Linked DNA regions of Caenorhabditis elegans. The protein of the gene in region 2 purifies or fractionates together with the protein of the main gene of each other region. This does not show direct contact. Each region holds a gene or a part of one and is shown on either strand. Other genes may lie near its edges.

Region 1 (7,288 bases), about 14 Mb from region 2:
TTTTTGGAAAATTGAAAAAAATCATTTAAAAAATTAGGAAAGTTTTCAAAACAATTTTACATTTATATTCGGTTATTCTCTAGGTAGTCTAGGTAGTCTAGGTAGTCGAGGTAGTCTAGGTAGTCTAGGTATTCTCTAGGTAGTCTAGGTAGTCTAGGTAGTCGAGGTAGGAGAGAATATAGAATTCTTGAACTTTTTTTTGATTTTTAGAAAAAATACCTTTTTTTCTGGAATAAAATTTAGATTTTATTTTGGAAAAATATAGAATTCTAGAGAAAAATATCAATTTTTTTTTTGGAAAAATATCAATTTTTTATTGAGAAAATTTAATTTTTTCTGGAAAAAAGTATAGACTTATAGAGAAAAATGTGTATTTTATTTTATTTTCAGGACATTTTTTTTTTTGGAAAAAAATCGATAATCTATAAAGAAAAGTGGATTTTGAGAATTACTGCCTTCAGAAATTGACAATTTTCCCATTGATTTGTCTACAAAGGGCATCGAAAAGCTACTCCACTTTTAAGAAAACAAATTCACAAAAACAGAGCAATTTTAAAAGTGTATGTAGTAGATCTCCTGGCTCTAACTCGGAGCTCTACCTCCGAGGCTAAAGCTAGAAACTCATATGACCACATAAATCATAAAGTGACTTCACAACTACATACATATAAAACCAAATAGCAGATGTATATAAAATAGATATGTACACCACCACCACCACCACCACCAGAAGAAAGGTCGGGCAGTGGAGAAGAACAAGAGCTGGTGCCTGAGAGGGGGGCGCCCACTGGGAATCGCCCCCCGCATCTTCTGAGATTCTTTTTTAGAGGCACAAGAATATGGGGGCTTTTATTCCATGTATCCCCCTCCCCCTTCCCTCTTTGCAAAACAGCACAATTTTTGAATTGTGGCTCTGGAGGTGAGAGGAGCTGGAGCTGGAATTTCCTGGAATGGGGAAACCAGGTCAATTAATAGAAATAAGAAATAATATAGGAACACACATTGAGAATGAAAAAAAAATGAAAAAGTAAGTGTTAAAACACACACACACAACATTCGTTGCTCCATGCTCTTCACAATGAGTAGCACCACAGTTGATGGACGTGGGTGCCCCCGGGGGAGAAACGGGGGGCGCCGCCGCCTTTTTTTTTTTTGAGAGCGCGCGGCAGGGCAAAAATGTTTGTTGTTTATGCTTATGCACATAAAAAATGGAGAAGTGAAAAGGTTTTTTGATATTGAGATTTTCAAGGTTTCGAGTATTGAATGTAATTTTGAAAACATGCTGATTTGAGATTATTGAATTTAAAATTAGAAATAAAAAAAACAGATTTTTATTATCTATCAGAATTACGTCATTGTTAGAGGTGGAGTAGATCAGGGGTGCGTGGCAAATTTTTTTCCGACAAAAACGGCAAATCGGCGAATTGCCAGTTTGCCGATTTGCCGAAAATTTTCATTTCCGGCAATTGCCGGTTCGCCGGGAATTTTAAATTCCGCCAATTTGACGGTTTGCCGATTTGCCGAAAATTTTAATTTCCGGTAATTTTCCGGTTAGCCAACTTGCCGGGAATTTTCAATGGCGCCAATTTGCCGGTTTGCCAGGAATTTTCAATTCCGCCAGATTGCCGGTTTGTCGATTGGCCGGGAATTTTAAATTCCGGTAATTTGCCGGTTTGCTGATTTTCCGGAAATTTTCAATTCCGCTAATTTGCCGATTTGCCGGGAATTTTCAATTCCGCCGATTTGCCGGAAATTTTTAACTCCGGCACTTTGCCGGAAATTTTCCGGTTAGCTGATTTGCCGGAAATTTTCAATTCGGCAAATTTGCCGGTTTGCCGGAAATTTTCAATTCCGCTAATTTGCCGATTTGCCGGGAATTTTCAATTCCGCCGATTTGCCGGAAATTTTTAACTCCGGTACTTTGCCGGAAATTTTCCGGTTAGCTGATTTGCCGGAAATTTTTAACTCCGGCACTTTGCCGGTTAATCGACTTGCCTGAAATTTTCCGGTTAGAGAATTTGCCGGGAATTTTCAATTCGGCCAATTTGCCGGTTTGCCGGGAATTTTCAATTGTGCCAATTTGCCGGTTTGCAGATTTGCCGGGAATTTTGAATTCCGGTAATTTGCCGGTTTGCCGATTTGTCGGATATCAATTTGCCGGAAGTGTTTTTTCCGGCAAATCGGCAATTTTCTGGTTGGCCGATTTGCCTATAATTTCAATTCTGGTAATTTGCTGATTAGCCGGAAAAAATCGTTTGCCGCCCACCACTGGAGTAGAGTCAATTTTTTTGCTTTAAATAATAGAAAATGGGCCGTAATGACTAAATTCAACAGTAAATATTAGTAGGCAAGAATTATAATAACAGTTCAGTTTTGAGTTTAACTACCGTACCCTTACAGTACCCATACATTTAATCAACTCATATGAGTAGGGTAATAGGTGTAAAGAAGCTCTATACAAAGAAAAACTAATCTCATTCATTTTAAGATGTTCCAAGAAAATATTGGTTTCCGTTTCGCATGTTCATATATTTCCAATAACTAACATCTGGATGCAATGCAGGAAAATATTATTGCGGTTAGAATTTCCTGGAAGACGTTGGGAAGATGGGTATTTGTTTTTCAAGCTGGACAATTTTTAGATTATTTGTTTTAGAGCAGTACTTGGATTTGGGGAATTTATGAAAACCTGGAAAACTTAACAGGTAAATAGCTAAATTTGCATAGGGGTTATTTAGATTTTTTTTCGGCAATTTTGTCAGTTGTCAATTTTCCTATGAATAAATTATTTTTGCTATGCAATCTATGCAACAAAAAGAACAACGAAAAACTAACGGAAAGAAGCCCAGAAAAATTATTTAATTAGTGAAAGCGTCGAAAGTTTGGCTCTTTTCTTTTATTTCCAATTAACATATATTCGGTCAGAAAATTTGTAGACTCTATGTGATCAATGTTCTTGACTAGTGAAAAGGTACCGACTATGCATGTTGATAATTGGTAAGTGAGCATAGTTGGTACCTACAATTTCTACGTCACAACATCTTGACCGTTTTTCCCCCACAACGGGAGTGGCCTGTGAGCGTATAGAGAGAGTTGAGTTTGTAGAGATACACAGGCAATATAACTGCCTCCTACATATTTTGCGAGAGAGTGACCTTTAGCAGGTGAGCCTGTACAACAGTTTTGGAGCTGACAAAATCTGATGCTGAAAAAGAATTCGTGTGTCCTGCTGTGTGGAAAAACTGTCAAGATGTTGTGACTTAGAAATTGAATGTACCAATTACCACATGCAAACTAGAGTGCGAATTAAATTATTTCAACTTTCGGTCACTGCGGCATAACATTGACATCATGGCAAAAGTTCAGATTTTCGTTAAATTTGCATTTTTCTCCAAATTGTGAATCAACTTAAAGGGGGAGTAGAGTTTGTGGATATTTTGCTTAAATAGACTAAAACTGGTCCAAAACCACCGAATTTCATAATGAGACATCACAAAAAATTTCGAAAACTTTCGAAAAAAAAAAATACACGAATAGGAACATTGCAATCATTTTTAAATTCTTTTTTATTCTGCTAAGTTCCAGGTAACCCCAAAAAAACTCATGTAGCCAAAAATCTGATCTTCCATTTCACTTCTGTCTTTTTTAATGTCCAATTAACATTATTTCCTAATTAGATAAGAGTGGCAGATCAAGAGCAACCTAAACCAAGTTTTGCCAAAATCTTGCTCAATTTATGGCCCGACACGAGAAAAAGCTAGAGTTAGCACAGAACAGGCATATTTTATTTCTCCTACAGTGTAATACTTGCACGAAACGAAATTATTGTTAACAATGCAACTATTCAGAACCAGCTAGAGCAGCTGACAATGGATGAAACGAAGCTTTTGTCTGAAGTTTCTGGCTCATCGATATCAAGCACTTTGTGGTTCTACAACACTGTGATTATGAACAGCGTTGTTGAACGTCTCGATTTTTTTGATATGTATGTAAAGTCTTTTGATTTTTTTTAGCTTGAATTTTATTTTTTCAGACAAGTGCTCCGTAAAATTTCTTATGGAAGCCGTCAGTGCATCGACCTTATCAAACCAGACCATAAATTACTCAAAATCGGCATTCATGTTCAAAGCATTGGGTGCGCACTTCTTGAGATGTTTACCGAATCCACAAACCGAAAAGTTTCATATAAGGCTTCAAGATTATCCAGAAAATCTAGCGAGTTGGATTACGGCAACTTTTCAAACGACTTGTTCCTTATTTTGAAAAATCAAAAATCTGCTTTGGAAGAACTTAAAATGAATTTTATGCAAGTTGATGAAACCAGCGAGTCAAGTTTCAAGGATGTTACGGAAGAAGAAAAAAAATACATGGATGAAATTGAGGGGAATCCCCAGGAAACAGAAAGTCATTCAATCTGGGACCAGAATGAGAATCGATTTTTGAAATCGTTCAAAGATTTGCACGCCTCGCTGGGTCGATTGCTGCCAGTGGAAAAGTTGGTTGTCACAACAAGAAACCAAAAAACCATAGTGCAACTGCTCCAATCCGTGGATCCCTCTAAGCTGAACAAAATTGAGTTTGGAACATCTTTCGACGTACCTGCAAGTGATGTATGGAGCATTGAAGAGTTTTTGGTCATGGAACAATGGAGGAATGCGAAAGAGTTGACAATTATTAAGCGTGTTATCAAGTGTGATGTTGAAAATCTTGTTCACTTCAGAAAAGTTGACATAATTTTGGATTCGTTATCATTGAAAAATGTTATATATTTGAGAGATGTGAGTTCGAATATCTCATGTAATTTTTAAAAAAAAATAATTTCAGATGTTCCTAGTTTCACCGGACTTTCTCCAGTTCAAGGTCACATTTGTGAACAGTGACGTAAATAATTCTATATTTCAAGAAGGATTTTTGGGAATTCCGTTTCGCATAGTTACCGATTCTACAAATAATCAACCTAGCATTTGGTTTTTCAATTGCATGAACGACACAGATGATCTACAAATTCGATATTATCAAAATCTTAAAAAATTCATGTTTAATCGTATTCCGAGGGAATCTAGTCCGGCTATTCCGAGGGAATCTAGTCCGGCTAGGTGCTAGAGCTGTTGTAAAGGTCACTTCCCTGTTCCTCGCCAACGGGACGAAAAGTTGTCCCTAATGATTTTTTTTTCAAATATTAATTTTTCACCTGATTTAAACTAGGGCTCCCATGAGGTCGCCGCAAAGGCGCCTTCGCCCGCCTCAGCGGTCGCCGCGCCGGCCTCACGGCGTCACTCTCGCCTTTCACTGAATTACACATAAACTTTTATTTTCATTTCTTATATTTTTTTTCTAAATTTTCAACGAATTTTTGAAAATTAAAATTTAAAATTCACGTCATTATTATTGAAAGCGGCGAACGGCGAAGGCGAAGGCCGGCCGGCGTGAGGCCGGCGTGAGGCCCGCATTTTGCGCCTCACTCAGCTGGGAACCCTAATTTAAACAATACTTTCATGTGCATGAATCTTTTGTACGTTTAAATATAATTTTTAATGGCGTGGATATAGATATTTCACGTACTATTTTTATAAATAAATAAATTCACTTATAATAAATTTAAACATTTATTTCTTAATTATTCTCAATTTACTGTGCACCTTTTCATATTTTACGGTAAAGTTAAATGTATCTAAATATTTGTTTAACCTGAAAATATTGTGCAACATAAAAAAAAAAAAAATATATATATATACAAAATGGACGCACTTTGACAAAATGAAAGCATAAATCAATAATAAGTCTCACTATGAGAAATGATTGAATAATTAAATAAATAAAAAATTTCAAGCTGGAAACTTGCTGGAAAAGGTGATAATTGAACTTTTTCTTAATTAAGAAATTTTCTTCAAACGAATGTTTCCGCGGTATTAAATTTTTTTATTGAAGCAAAAAGCGCAGAGATCGAAGATTTTTACATAAAAATTCCATATATTCCAACAAACATGGAAGAATTTTGAAAGAAGCACATGAGAAAAAGCACCGAATAATGATGAATTTTTAACCAAAAAATTCGAAAAAAATCACAAAAATACAGAAAAATTGAAGAAGCCGGGTGATTGAAAAAAAATCAATAAATTCATAGAAGAAATTGAGCAAATGATCCGGGGGGCGGGGAATTCAATATCTTACATTAAAAAAAACATGCTAAAATGTGAGAGTACTTCGTGTCAAGACCCGTTAAATTTGAAGAGAGGATTTTTTTTATAATTTTTTAGAAAAAAAAAGGAAGATTAGGAGATTTGAGGAGGTGTCCTACGGGATCCGTTTACCTGAAAATATTGATTTTTTTTTATTTGTAACTATTTCCGTGCGAAATTTGAAATTTTTACCGCCAAATGGAAAATTTTTGAATTTTCGGCGCCAAAAACTATATACTCGAAATTTTTGAAAAAACCGACAAAATTATAAAATTCAAAATCTGAAAATTGGCACAAACGAATTTTATTTTACTTGGCGGCAAAATGTAAGAATTCAAAAATTTTCGAATTTCGCGCCAAATTTGAAATTTGTAAAATTAATAAGTTTTGGCACCAAATTGAAAAATCACTTTTTGGAGCCAAGTTCCAAATTTTCAAAGTTTTAAATTTTGACTTTGAATTCAAAATTTTAAGTTCCTACATTTTGGCACCAATTTAAAAAATTTCGAGATTTTTTAAACTTTTAGTGCAATTTCAAAATTTTCTTTATGATTTTTGCGTTGAATTCAAATAAATTTCGCATTTTTAATTTTCGGCGCCAAATTTAAAAATTTTTAATTTATATTTCTCGAATCCAATTTTTGAAATTTTAATAATTTTTTAAATGTATAATTTTTGGCGCCAAAATCAAAACTCCTCCCACATACCTCATTTTCCAGTATGCAATTCCATTCGTTATTATCCGTTGATGACGTGGCAACCACCGGCGGGGGTACAAAACACTCGTAGGGAGGCGGTGCCTCGTACATTTTTGGCGGAATTTGATCTACCGGACGGTAGAGCGCAGATGGTGACTCATTCGATCGAGTTATCACTGAAATTGGTGGAAATTTCAAACTTTCCGTGAAAAAGAAAGAACTTACTATGAATACTCTGATACATTGGACACCCGGGAATCTTTTTGCAAACTATTGCTGTCACAATTACCAGTAGAGAAATGACAAGTACTGAGCCAAAGATGATTAGTGCCAGGTAGCTGAAAATATTTCAATTATGAATTTCATGAGTTTTCAGCACTTTTATTAGGTTTCTGTGGTTTTCAGCTTCAA
Region 2 (7,373 bases):
AATTTTCAGTCTCTTCCCTGCCTTAGGGCTGGCCAAATGTCAAAAAATACGACAACTTAAAAAATATTCACGTGACGGGGGTCACTCTTCGACACTTTTGTTTTTGTCAATATTTGACGTGTCGAAAACCGACACCGTCGAGTTTAGACACTCGAAACGTTGATTTATTGTTTTTATTTTTGATTTTATTTCCCAGTTCACGTTTTTTCAAATGAGCACAGAAAACAATGATGTGGCAGTTGAAAAATTTAATAAAATACTTTGATTAACAATTATAATTTTCATTCATTTTTATCCACGTATTCAGTGTCGAAAAGCGACACCACGAAGTGTCAAGAAATGACTTTCTAATTTTTTGAATCACGTGTGAGATTCATTTTTCGACTACAGAAATAAATGAAAATTTTTGTTTATTGACGACACTTGGCCAGCCCTACCCTGCCTATCAGATGAAGTTCGCGCTCTCCCTCTCTACCTTGCCGTGGAAAACAAATTGCAATATCTGATGGGGACTGTAGGAGAAGCAATACTACTTTATGTTACCTGCTTGGCACTCTTTTTTCAAATCTACCGTGCTCTTAAAAAATATGGCAAAGTCCGTTCGAAACAAACCTTGGAACTACAAAAAAAGCTGATGAAGGCGATGTTTTTGCAATTGGCAATTCCCTTTTCCATTATCTCCATTCCAATGGCCTATTTCTCATATACACCATTTTTCAATGCGGCATTGAATAATACTATGTATATTATAGTTGCAACACATGGTTTCATATCAACAATTGTTATGCTCATTGTACAGAAACCTTACCGAGAATTTATCCTGGGAGGTTTCGGGAAGTTTTTTAAACTGAGACAGTCTAGCGAAAATGTTTCGGGGATCAGTTTACACTCGATGAATACAATTGTAGCACCAAACCGAATGTTTTGAATAAATACTACTTTAAACATTGTTTTTGCATTGATTCAAAGCACCGTTTTCTAACGTCGTAACATTTAAGCAGGTGATATTCAGTTTGTAGTTATTACTAATACATTTATTTTGTTTTCAAAGGATAGCCACAATTAAATTTAAAAAAAGATAAATCTCTTTGAAAATGGTATTTTGGTTAAATACTGTTCACTTGAGGGCTTGAAATATAATATAAATCGTTGGAGAGACAGGAGAAACGTCAACAGGGAGAAAACCTGTGTTATTATGTAGAGCACATATATTACAATAGGAAGTGTTAAATAGGAGATGTTAAAGTAGTTAGGAGAATTTCTTTTAAAAAAAGTTATTGTTCTGGATCAAGAATTTTTTATCTCACATATTAAGACAACTAAAGCACAAGAAAAACAGGAACGCTAGGTATAGGAAATAGACGTTTCTGGACATTTGATAAAGATGATTAACAGCTGGAAACAGTATCATCTGAATGAGAAAGTTATGTTTAATGCAATGCACGTGTTGAATACCGCTTTATCGAGTTTTCGATTCATTTTGAACACGTACACATAAACTGGGAATAATGCCGAAAAAACAATCACCGAAGCAATAAAAAATATCTTGAAAGAATAATATATTGTTTCAGTAATTTTTACAATAGTGTCGTTCATTGGTACTTCTTTTAAAGCAATGTACTGCCAAATTTATATTATAGATTAGGAATTAGTGTGAAATAAAGTTACTGACAGGTGAATGTTATTTACGGCAAGAGCGAAAATTTTGTTTCTGTAACATTCTTGACCAATGACAAGTAAAGGTGGAGTACCGAAATGGGTACTTGTGTTTCGCACTACGTTGCTCACTCGCCAAGCTACACACGCCGAGCTGCGGAACTCGGAAGGTATCGGCCGCTTCCAAATAACTACCTTTCGCACTTCGTTGCGCACACACACCGGCGAAGGGCGACGGCGCCTCCGCCGCGCCGCTCTCACATGGAAGCCCTATTCCCTTTTTTTGAAATGTATCCATTTTAATAAAACGTGATGTCCATTACCCCTCTTTAGGCTTAGAAATGGTTATTTCCTGAGCCTAAAGATACAAAAACTCCACACGTTAAAAAAAAAATTTAAATGAGGAAAATTTAAAAATGGCACAATACTACAAATTTTCGTAATTAGATTGCTAAAAAAAACAGTTATGATCACTCAAAAATTTTGGAAAAATCGGCTATATTTTGCTGAAATCTCAAATTTTCACAACTAGGGCTGTTATTTAGGACGTCCTAGGTCGTCCTTGTCATTTTTTGATGGCTTATTTTGGCGTCCGTTTAACAGGAAAATTCAGCCTCAAACTCGAATCCAGATAATATTAACCCAAATAATCTATTTTCGTTATCAAAATTAATGTGTTAAGTCCGAGGACTTTGGTATAAAAATTGGGAGGACGATGAGGACGTCCTGTTTAACAGCCCTATTGACAACTTTTCAGTGTCGCAGCGGTTGGAACTCAATTGTCATCCTAATTTCTGCACTATGACGAAAAGTCAAAGGCGTGGTGTACAGACAACTCAGTGCGAAATGTGGTTTTAGCTGCGGCCGACGCTTTTCGGGTTCCGCTCGGGGGTCACCGCAAAGCGCGCGTGGCAGACGTTATCCCGCCTGCATGGAATCCCTACCTTCCTCATAGGATTCATCAGTAGTTCTCGATCGTTCTTCGGCCCGGCCCAATTCACCTATAAAACTAAATGAAACGCGCATTCAAGGTCATTCCTTATATTTTCCCTATACTCTTATTTCGTTATTTTTGTCTTCCTTATACTTACCACGTGTCTGTTACTCATCTATTCTGTAATTACTTAATTCCTCTGATCAACATGACAAGATGAAATAATCTCACTAGATCCAGTTTTGCTTCTTATTTTTTAAAGTTTTCCGAGGGAAAACGTTAGTTAGATTTCCCCCTCCTATCAGGTTTTCTCCAATGTTTTTCAATATCATGATTAAAATTTGTCCTGTTCTTGAACCAATTTTCAGTTTTTTTGCTCGCGGAGCTCCAGATGCAAGCAATCAAATGTGTCGTCGTTGGTGACGGAGCCGTCGGTAAGACGTGTCTCCTGCTATCGTACACTACAAACGCTTTTCCCGGAGAATATATTCTAACGGTGAGCCACTTTTTGTCGGGGCACTTGAGAAAAATTCGGGTTGGCACTTGAAAATTTTTTTTTCAAAAAATCTTATTTTTTAGCGCAAAAATTTGAAAAAAAATTTGAAAAAAAATCTATCTATACTTTTTTATTTAAAAAACCATGAAAAGTTGAATTCGTTTTTCAAAAAAAGGCAACTTCTGTCCGTAAACGTAAAAATGAAAACATTTTTTGAATGAACCCTCTGAAAGTGGAAAATTTTGACCGAAAACACGATTAAAGTGCTAATTTACATGATGAAAATATGAAAAGTTCTTACCTTTTTTTGCCTGATTTTAACCAGATAAAATTGGAGAACGGTCTGAAATTGGGCTTTTTCCTTATAATCTCGAATTAAGCCCAATATTTATGCAGGTATTCGACACCTACTCAACAAATGTGATGGTCGACGGAAGGCCAATAAATCTCAGCCTATGGGACACAGCTGGACAGGACGATTACGATCAGTACGTGCGGAAAAATCTGAAAAATGCGTCAAAAAATGAGCCAAATTTCATTTTCTCAAAATAGTTGATAGTAAATTTTTTCAAAGTTTTCGCCTATTTTAGAGCAATTTTCTATTTTAGAGCGAAACATTCTGAAACTTCTAAAATTTTTAACCGACCTATTGTCTGCTAAAAGTACAATTTTGTTATTGTGAAAATTGCTAAAAATATTTCCTCCACAACTTTTTTTTCTACTTTTTACAATTTTTCTAGCAATTTTCAAGCGGATTCTATTTTATAATGACAAAAAGAATGTCTATCAAAAAGTAACATTTCATATCAAATTTCGTAGGGAATGAAAAAAATCTTAAACTATATCTAATCTATCTAATGAATGTTTATTGTATTTACATGTGAATGTAAATTTACAGCCCACTTAAATTTCCCCATTTTTCTTCAGATTCCGCCACCTGTCATTTCCACAAACAGACGTATTCCTCGTATGCTTTGCACTGAATAATCCAGCAAGTTTTGAGAATGTTCGTGCAAAATGGTATCCAGAAGTATCACATCATTGCCCAAATACACCGATTATTTTGGTTGGAACTAAAGCTGATTTACGCGAGGATCGAGATACTATTGAACGGTAATTTTTTGGGATTCATTTTAGCATCGAAACAACTTTTTTATCATGTTTGAGAGAGATATGGCAAGAAATTGGGTGTGAAACTTTTGCATATCTCCCCATGTTTTTACCTTTTCGGCCAAAAAAGACAGCAACTCCAATGTAATACCCCCAAAAACTCTTGAAAAATAAAATTTTTGCAGGCTCCGTGAACGTCGGCTCCAACCAGTGAGCCACACCCAGGGTTACGTGATGGCAAAGGAAATCAAGGCGGTCAAGTACCTGGAATGCTCGGCGCTTACCCAAATTGGATTGAAACAAGTTTTCGATGAGGCAATTCGTACTGGGCTCACCCCGCCACAAACACCACAAACGAGAGCCAAAAAGAGCAATTGCACGGTGCTTTAAAATGCGAGGAAATTGGAGAACTCAAATTACAGAAACTACAACAATTTCAACTACCATACTAATTTTCAATACATAAAAGCTTCTGAAGCTTTTCGTCGTTGGAATTTCATATTTTCAGGTCGGAAAAAAAATTGAAGGAGAGGATAATCCCTTGCCTTGAGGACTGATCATCACAAAGTTATTACCACATGATTAGTACCCACCTATAACAGACCAAAAAACGAACCACGTGTGTGTTCAAAGCTAAAATCGGAGTTTCACCATGTTTTTGGCGAGAACTCGTAATTTGAGCTTTGATTGTGAATTCTTTTAGGGCTTCCATGTGGGCGCCGGTCAGGCGCCTCCACCGGCCTCATGTCGCCACTAACGCCGCAAGTATCCGTATGTATAGTGCGGCGCGAAACCTCGAACGTGTCGGCCGCTTCCATATAACTACCACTTCGTTGCGCACATACATCGACGAGGGGCGAAGGCGACGGCGGGCCGGCGTGAGGCCGGCAAAGGCGCCTCCGCCATGCGGCTCTCACATGGAAGCCATAGTTTAATTTGATGGTCATCCTAATTTCTGCACTATGACGAAAAGTCAAAGGCGTGGTGTACAGACAACTCAGTGCGAAATGTGGTTTTAGCTGCGGCCGACGCTTTTCGGGTTCCGCTCGGGGGTCACCGCAAAGCGCGCGTGGCAGACGTTATCCCGCCTGCATGGAATCCCTACCTCCCTCATAGGATTCATCAGTAGTTCTCGATCGTTCTTCGGCCCGGCCCAATTCACCTATAAAACTAAATGAAACGCGCATTCAAGGTCATTCCTTATATTTTCCTTATACTCCTGTTTCGTTATACTTTTCTTCCTTATACTTACCACGTGTCTGTTGTTTGTCCCCATTTACTCTTCTATTCTGTAATTGCTTCATCCCTTTAATAAACACGACAAGATGAAATATTCTTACTATATCCAGTTTTGCTTCTCATTTTTTAGTTTTTCGAGGGAACAAGTTATGGGGTTATTCAAGTAGTGTCGGAAAATTAAAAGGTGTAGGAATATTACGTCACTTTGTGTATTAAAATACATAAAAAACATGTACATAAAGTGACCTAATATTCCTACACTTTTTTAATTTTCCGACACTACTTGAATAACCCCATTAGGTTTCCCCCCGAAGGTTATCTCCTATATTTTTCAATATCATGATTAAAATTTTTCCTGTTCTTGAACCAATTTTCAGTTTTTTTGCTCGCGGAGCTCCAGATGCAAGCAATCAAATGTGTCGTCGTTGGTGACGGAGCCGTCGGTAAGACGTGTCTCCTGCTATCGTACACTACAAACGCTTTTCCCGGAGAATATATTCTAACGGTGAGCCACTTTTTGTTGGGCAATTTGAGAAAAATGGCGTGCAAAAATCAGAAAAAAATCGTCATTTTTATTTAAGAAAACATAAAAAGTTGAACTTGTTTCTCAAAAAAAGCAACATTTGTCCATAAACGTAGAAATGGGTAAAAATTTAGAATAAAAAGTGGGTAATTTTTACCGAAAATACTTTGCCTGATTTTGAGCAGAGAAAATTAAAAGCGGTCTGAAATTTGACTATAAATTCAAATAATGTTCAATATTTCTGCAGGTGTTCGACACCTACTCAACAAATGTGATGGTCGACGGACGGCCAATAAATCTCAGCCTATGGGACACAGCTGGACAGGAAGATTACGATCAGTACGAGCGGAAAAATCTGAAAAATTTCTCGAAAAATGAGCCAGATTTCATAAATATTTTCTCAAATTATTTGATAACATTTTTTCAAAGTTATCGCCTATTTCAGAGCAATTTTCAATAAAAATTGGAATTGGCCTAGGCTTAATTTGTACCTTTTTTGATAAAAACTTATGATTATTAAATTTTCTGGAAAACAGGTGAAAATGGTAAAATATTTCAAATTTTACTCGAATAGTTGAACACTAATTTTCAATTCATTCTAGTGAAATCTACTCATTTTTAGAGAAAGTACAATTTTTTTACAGTAAAAATTGCTCGGAACTTTTCCTCAACAACATTTTTTTCTAATTTTCACTATTTTTACTAGCAACTTTCGAGCAAACTCTTATTTAACAATTTAACAAATTTAACAATGACAAAAATAATGTCTATATTAAATGAGAGGGAACATTTTCATATCAAATCTTACAGCCTACTTAAAATTTCCCATTCTTTCCAGATTCCGCCAACATTTCCACAAAAAATTTCCACAAACAGACGTATTTCTCGTATGCTTTGCATTGAATAATGTAAGGATCTGCCCCTCACTACATCTTTCCCACACAGCTTATACGTGTATTTCAGGACTACTCGGAGAGTCAGCAGTCTGTATTGGAACGCATCGTCTCAGGACTTACAAGATTCGCCTTCTACAGCTCGTTCCAACCAGTCGCACAAGTGCCGCTACCCTCCGACGTCGAACCAGACTTGTAATGATAATTACCGTAACCCGTGCAGGCGCGCTCCACCGAACTCTCTCGGCAGCGCGCGCCACATTTTGCATTTCCTTCCGGAACATTCTTGTCTCGTCCCGCCCTTCCACCGCAACCTGCTATATAAGACGACAATTCCCTCATTCTAGGTCTTTTCCTCGTTTTGACTTGTTTTGTCTCCTTATCTCTCTCTCTCCCTCTTTCTCTGTACTTGTTTGGCAGGACATTGTTCCCTGAGCCACTCATTTTATCTTAATAAACCTATTAATTAGCACATATCTCGTTCGTGTTATGCAATTCACCGACCAGCATAGAATAAAGCAC
Region 3 (7,263 bases), about 12 Mb from region 2:
CTTCATGTGAATTGGAGTGACTGGGCGAACGATAATCTCCATTTTCGGACGAACCTGAACAATTTTCAGTTAGAATTTAATTTATCAATTTTAATTTTCAATGTTTCACCTCATGCATCAACTCGACAGCTTTTACATTGAAATTTCTCAACAAATGAGCCATGATGACCTTCTCCTCCATGAGTGCAAAACGTTGGCCAATGCAGTTACGACTTCCAGCTGAGAATGGAATGAAGGCGAAAGACTTGCGAGCAATTGAATTTTCAGGAAGGAAACGATCCGGATCGAATACATCAGGATCCTTCCATTGCGAAGGATCACGATGAACAAGGTACAGGTTGAGCAGAAAAGTGACTCCTTTTGGAATATTAACACCTCCAATCACTTGATCATCACTCAATTCTCTTGTAATAATTGGAACAGATGGGAACAATCGGAGAGCTTCTTTTAGTGCACATTCGAGATATTTCATTCTGGAGAGATGTTCAATAGTCACGTCCTCATCATCGCCCATCACTTCATCCAATTCCGCTTGAACTTTTCTCTGAACTTCAGGATGATTTCCCAGAAGATGTATTGCCCACATTAGTCCTGTAGATGTTGTATCGTGGCCTTCAAACATGAATGTGTCAACTTCTGCCTGAACATCTGTTTCGTCCATTTGTCCACTTTTCACCATTTCGAGAAGAAGATCTAAAAATGCGAGACGACCTTCCATCTTATAATCATTCTCCTGTAGCGCTTCTTTTCTCTCGACAATTACTTTCTTCGTGAAATCATGTAGAATACGAAGACATTTTTCATGCGTTCGTCCGTCTTCTGTTCTGAAAAATAAAATTGAATTGACCTTTTTAATGATAAAACTATCGTACAAATTGTAAATAAACGAATTCCACATTAACGGATTATTTGTTCGCTTTGAGATCAGCTTGTTGATTGTGTGCACCGCCCATACATACTCGTTATTCTGAAAAAAAAACGTTTAGAAATGTTGCGATTGAAGAATTTCTCGAACCTCCGCGAGTTGAGCACCGATAGCTTTGCCCATGGAAGTTTCACAAATGATATCAAGAGTGCACAAGGTTATAACGGAGAGAACATCAACTTCTTCCCTGAAAATGAATATTTGAAAGCGTTATAAATTGAAATTCTCACTCTGCTCCGAGGGAACACATTTTCTGAACCAAAATCTTTGATTGCTCGTTGAAAATCGGCAAAAAATCCTTCAGAATATCATAATGGAAGGTGGGTGTCAAGAGTTTTCGCTTTGGACGCCATTGTTCCTTCTGGCTTGTCAAAATACTGATTCCAAGCCATGGCTCAAGCAAAACGTATGCGAAACCTTTGTTCAGATGTTTCGTCGACGAGAAAATTGGTTCCACGAGATCGGCGGAGTAGAGCATCAGGCAAGGGAACGGACCAATCCACAAAAGACACATACGTGGATCTGGATATAAATATCCCATTCCAATTACTTGGTTCATGAATCCCTCTGGATCTGGCTTGGTGACCAGTCCGTGACCGACGATTGGATATGAACGTGGTTGATTGAGATGCTGAAAATTTATTTAAATTATCTTCAAATGAATTTTGAAATCAAACCTTCAAAGCTTGACGCATTCTCAAGTGTTTGTAGAGAAGCCAAGCGATTATCGTCGCCGAAGCGAGAAGTACAGCGGGGATGATAACCCCCATTGCAAAACCTTCTGAAATAATTTATTTGAGCGAAAAAAACGAGCAAAAAGCGTTGAAAACTTGAGGAAAATTGTTTGTTAAGCTTTGGTTTTGAAAATCGCAAAAAAAAAAGTTTTTGAACGAACATTCAAATTTCAGACAAGTCGTGGTGAGACCCATGTGAAAATCGTCATGCGTCTTTAAAGAGTACGGTAGTCTTGAGAAAGTTCTCGAACGAATTTTTGTCGTTTTCTGATATTTCAATCTTGATTTAAATAATTATTAAAAACTTTTAATTACCATTATTTTTTCAACAAAAAAATGAAGAAAACAAAAAAACAAATCCAAAACTATTTTTCAATGAATATTGTACTTTTTATGAATGCTTCGTCTATTTGACCTATTTGACGTATTTGATCCCCCCGTCGAAAAACCAGCGCAACTATTTCATATAGGCTCAACGAATTTTTGATCGTGAATCTTCTTCTTCTTTGCTGACACTCACAAAAACTGATGAAGTTTTTTAAAAAATGGTTTTATCGATAAATTATTATTAATCTGCCAATCACTTCAGTACATTTACTTTTTTTTTAGTTTTCTCTTTCATTTTTGCTTCAAATTTTTTATAAAATTTTAAATCAACGTTTTTCAGAATGTCAGCTCCATCTCGCACCGTCCTTCGCGATTTGACGGCGACCAGATACGTCGCCAACTACGCCGAAGAAGATCGCTTGGAAACCGCTCGAGCCGGTTGCTCTTCCCTCCCACCACAACCCAACATCAATCATGATGTAATTATCGAAGGGCACGGAGAAGATGTGGAGCTCGTCGAAGATGAGAACTACTGTTCCGTTCATCGTATCGATGAGACTCCAAAGCTCGTCGACAAGAAACCGAGCAAGACAATCATCCGCGATGAAGCTGTCAAAGTGCTCCGGCACATTCAGACTGTGCCGATTGAAAATCTTCGTCTTAAGCGCTACGACTATTTCTCGCAAAGATGGTTCCACACGACCAGAGAATCGGAGAAAGCGCTTGTCGAGCACGTGTTTCTTCATCCCAACCAACGACCACATTATTTTGCCGCTCAGTGCCGGAAGCTGTCGGTCGAGGATATCTCTAGTTTGATTCTGGTTAGTTTCTTGGCCATATTTTTGATAAAGCATAAATCTCATTTCAGACTTCTCTCCTGACCGAACCGAAGGAAACGGGACAAAATGTGGCTCGATTTGCTATCCAGACAACCAATGAAATGTCGTTCCAAACGTTATTTGCATTGCTCGAACAACTAGAGAAGGAAAACGAAAGGTTCCAAATGACAGATAGCTTTGTGGTTGCAACCCTGATCCGATCACAGACGAAGAGAGTAAGTAAATCGGTTTTATATTACACACAAATAACTTTTCATGTTTCAGACTATCACTCGTCTCCTGAGAACCACACACTGCCGGGAATACGGAAATCTCGAGCCAGGACTCGATTCACAAGGCCGGCTGATGACTTCGACTGCATCAATCACGTGTTCAATTCGAGGAAAGCGCCACGTGGAAACGAGGATCGTGTACAAGAACAACTCGAGCACCAGGGATCCTTTCCGAAGAAATAGAGTGAGTTGTATAGCAATAATTCTATCGATTTCCAATTTATAACATTTTCAGTACATCGAATTGGAGCAAACGGTGAAGTGCATGAACCGGCGAGTGCTGATTGTCGAAGAGCCAGTCGAAATCCACGAATTCGAGGTCGAAAAGGATATGATCTCGCTGGAAAACGGAATTGCGCCAGTCGACGACCTGATCTCGTTTCTCGAAACATTCGAACTGGATGAAGAGGACGAGTAACTCCATATATGTCCTATAATTAGTAGTAATGTGCATAAGTCTGTATTATTGTATATGTATTTAAATAACCGAGTGGTTCCTGTTGAATATTCCAACTAACTTCCCCTATTTTATTTTCCTTTTTTGTTTTAGTTGTTTTATGTATATAGATTCTCCAATGCCCAAATTGTGACAACCCACGACTATTTTGTTTATATTCGACATGTATATTGCCCGCATTTATTTTGATTTTTTTTCAAAGATGAATTTGTTTGAGGTATAATTTTACAATGCATTACTGCTCTGATTGATTGATTAGAATATGAATTTCAACTATTCCCGGCTTTTCACTGGTAAATTACTCCATATACGTTATTTTCCCACCGCAACAACCTGGCCTTTTCATTGCCTCATTCACAGCATACGACTTGTAATGTCTGCACTCTCCCCGTCTCATCACGTAATCAGGTCTCTCTCGATTCTTCCCGTTTAAATATATATCTGCTCTATTGCACCTCTTCATTTCCTTGTTCAGGAAAATAGCATAATTTCAAAATGCCTCGGAAGAAGAACGATGTGCAAATCACCGAGGAAATGAAGAAGAAAACCGCCGAAGAGGTTATCAAAAAGGTGAGTTTTATTTATTTATTTATTCCTAGTTTTGAAATTAATTTTCCAGCTGCCAACAGTGAAATCGAAGCAAGACGCTATCAACGAGAATCTGCAAAAACTTCAAGAATTCCGAGATAATGAGCCGAACCCCTATGGAAAGGGTAAAGTGGGTTTTTTTAAACAATTTTTATAACTAATTTTTGCGAAATCCAATCATTAAAAATTCAATATAAATACAGTAGTCTGTTTAAAGGGGCACGTGGTTGTACGGCTGGGTCTCGCCACGATTTTAAAGTTTTCTTGCAAATATCAATTAAAATCTTAACAAAAGAAATCAATGAAGACCAAGTTTTAGATAAATTTTTAAAATTTGAAGTAAAGTTTTGAATAGTTTCAACAAAATTTTCGGGGCAATTGCCTCGAAAATCTGTTCAAATTTGCAATCTGTACAAATTCGGCGATTTCTGCATGCTGTGCACAAATTCGGTTGAAATCTGGGTATATTCTGAACGGGTTTACTGAGAAGTTTCCATGGTTTTCGATGGAATTTCACATTTTGTCACCAGCACTCATCGATCTGTGGAATCACAACAATCATTCATTAGGTTCGTTTTCATCTTTAATCTCTCAAAATTAAAATAAATATTACAGAAATCTTTTGGACGAAGTAAAACGTGTTGCTGAAATGGATTATCGCTCCCAAATGGCCGGAGACATCAGTCGGAGAGATTTAATGGAACTGATCAAGGTTCGCGGCGACCTTCTTCCATTATGGACCAGCCATGACACACAATTTCCTGGAGAATATGTTGGAGCTATTGCACCACAGGATGGCTCGAAACTAGGCGACGGAGATTCAGTGGCGGCATTCAGTAAAGACGGAAACTGGATTCTTGCTGATATTGTCACATGTCACTCTAACTCGCGATATGAGTGTCGAGACGTTGATGATGACAAGAAGAAGTTGACAGTTTTCGCGAGAAGCCATTTGTTACCCCTCCCAAAATGGAAAGCGAATCCTGCATCAGACAAGCATGCACTTTTCGAGAAAAATGCGATTGTGTTGGCGTTGTATCCACAAACCACTTGCTTCTACAAAGGTACCAATTTTCACAAAAGTTTCAAAAATAAAATAATTATTTTCCAGGAATAGTTCACTCCCCGCCAGCAGATTTTCGAGAACCATATCAAGTAGCGTTCGAAGACGACAGCTATGCATCAGGATTCTGCCCTCCAATGCCGGTTGCTCAGAAATACGTGGTTGCCTTCCGAGAAGTTGCAGGGCTCACTGCATCAACTGCTCCAAAAAAGGGAAATGGCCACAAAAAGAAATGAGGCCATAATCCAATTAATTGACAGTATTTATTGTATGTAACTCCTAAAAATCCCGGAATTCCTTCTCATAAATCTCACAATGTTTTTTATTTGTCCATAAAAGTTGTTCTTATCAAAAATAAAACGTGTTATTATTGGCGGCAACATTATTCGAAAATTATACAAGAGAAATAATTCAGAGAGTGCAGAAAAAATTAGAAAGTGATCCAATGCGTGGTCTTGATTATTAAAAATTAACGTGATTTTAAAACCAGAAAAACATTTTGATTAATATATCTGCACGATCTACAATGATAAATAGTACATAGCCGTCATCCCATCATTCCTTCTCACATCATAACCACCTTTGACAGGATACTCGTCACATCCCGTCAATCCCAACGGCAAAAGAACAAAAAATTCTCTATCCACAGTCTCCTCAGCATCGAAAGCGCACTAGAGATAGCTATCTGCTAGATATTCTATACCTTCAAAGAGTGATTCGAGAAGATCTTCGTCTCACCTGAATGCAGTAAAATCGAAATTCGCAGATTCCAGTTTCCTGTCGACTCCGTGAATCCAGTGTTTCAAAAATATATTGACATCTTTGATTCTTAGATAAGCGACGAATGCGGAAGCATTTGTCACTATTTAGTACATCATTAAGATCATATTTCAATGATTGGTGTAGTACAACTATGTCCATGTTACGTGTTAAAACCATTTGCATTTGTTTAGATGCTTCTATTGAGAACGGGTTTTTGCTGCTTGTACAAATTGAATCAGTTTTACCGGAAAACTGTTTCAACACATGTTCATATAGCAAACTGTTAAAGCCAAACACTGTGCCTAGCTGCAAATCCTCAAACTCCAATCCTTCGAATTCATCACAAATCGTACTTTCGAATTGTGCAGTATCAAATGATAACTTATCAATTCTCTTTTGATGAAATATTTCCATAAGATGATTGTCCGTTCGTCCGTGAGAGTGAAGTGTTTGAGAAGATTCTTTTTGTCAGAATAAGAAGACGTTAGAATATGTTAATGGGTCCTGGGAACATGGGAGTGGTTACGGACGAAGGAAATCTTTGTCTCTGCAGCAGATGTATAATAACAAGTAAGTAGAGAGTTAGAGAAATAAGAGGTCACTGAACATTACCACTCAATCCTCCCATCTGCTCATTCTTTATTTGTGACCATGGATGACTATGTGCCTATTCCCTTCACATTGCTCAAATTACCTCAAAAATCGATTGATGTCGTGCTGCGCAGAATGTGCATAGAAGCATTGTGAGTACATAGATCATCATTAAATTTTTTCTGTAGTTTGCTGAAGAGCGTAATTCGAAAAATTGCTTGAGTGATTCGAGAAGTTTTAATGAAATGTATAGTTACTTTGAAACTTTTATTACTCAACAAGCCGGTGTCTTTCGAGCCTACCTCTCGACTTCCTCCGACTAGTAAAATTAAAATTCAAACATCCCGTTCTCAAATAGCCTTGATCCAGGGATATGGTTCACTAATCGCATTTCCTTGTCAATATGAAATATTCATTACAGAGTTGAATTATCATTCACATCTAAAGCTGCAATGCAACAAACTAAACACCTTGGTATAAAAACCGAACGTTTTATCATCGCAATTAATTCAAATGAAATATTGATTGACGTTTCCGGTTGTAGAGATTTCCGATTCTACACTTTCGAATGTTCAACCCCCAGCCACCATACTGTACAGAAGCCCATAAGAGTGCATGTTGGTTTCAGAGGGGAAAGATGGGAAACCCCATTTTTTGGAGTGAGACAATTTTTGAATCATCTTATGGAAATATTTCATCAAACAA

The links.
Region 1: the proteins of rac-2 (region 2) and R05C11.2 fractionate together in Caenorhabditis elegans (co-fractionation; one large-scale study listed by BioGRID). This does not show direct contact.
Region 3: the proteins of rac-2 (region 2) and Y17G9B.8 fractionate together in Caenorhabditis elegans (co-fractionation; one large-scale study listed by BioGRID). This does not show direct contact.

The regions. Positions count from the first base shown.
Region 1 is NC_003282.8:2,055,693-2,062,980, reverse strand, and holds R05C11.2 (DUF38 domain-containing protein), read left to right. Parts: upstream 1-3,869; coding exon 3,870-3,985; intron 3,986-4,033; coding exon 4,034-4,778; intron 4,779-4,824; coding exon 4,825-5,103; 3' UTR 5,104-5,603; downstream 5,604-7,288. Other genes in the region: R05C11.4 (Protein shisa-9), read right to left, coding at 6,273-6,311, 6,887-7,053, 7,103-7,215.
Region 2 is NC_003282.8:16,305,244-16,312,616, forward strand, and holds rac-2 (Ras-related protein rac-2), read left to right. Parts: upstream 1-2,981; coding exon 2,982-3,086; intron 3,087-3,482; coding exon 3,483-3,574; intron 3,575-4,013; coding exon 4,014-4,199; intron 4,200-4,381; coding exon 4,382-4,586; downstream 4,587-7,373. UniProt on the Caenorhabditis elegans protein: During gonad morphogenesis, plays a role in distal tip cell (DTC)-mediated guidance of gonad elongation.
Region 3 is NC_003282.8:4,755,492-4,762,754, reverse strand, and holds Y17G9B.8 (SGF29 C-terminal domain-containing protein), read left to right. Parts: upstream 1-3,914; 5' UTR 3,915-4,124; intron 4,125-4,173; 5' UTR 4,174-4,637; coding exon 4,638-4,711; intron 4,712-4,757; coding exon 4,758-5,206; intron 5,207-5,253; coding exon 5,254-5,441; 3' UTR 5,442-5,578; downstream 5,579-7,263. Other genes in the region: cyp-31A3 (CYtochrome P450 family), read right to left, coding at 1-54, 110-824, 873-967, 1,016-1,112, 1,156-1,556, 1,603-1,695; memi-1 (MEiosis-to-MItosis transition associated), read left to right, coding at 2,328-2,807, 2,855-3,040, 3,090-3,281, 3,333-3,515; Y17G9B.11 (PID domain-containing protein), read right to left, coding at 5,813-5,893, 5,944-6,150; fbxb-77 (F-box associated domain-containing protein), read left to right, coding at 6,619-6,710, 6,980-7,263.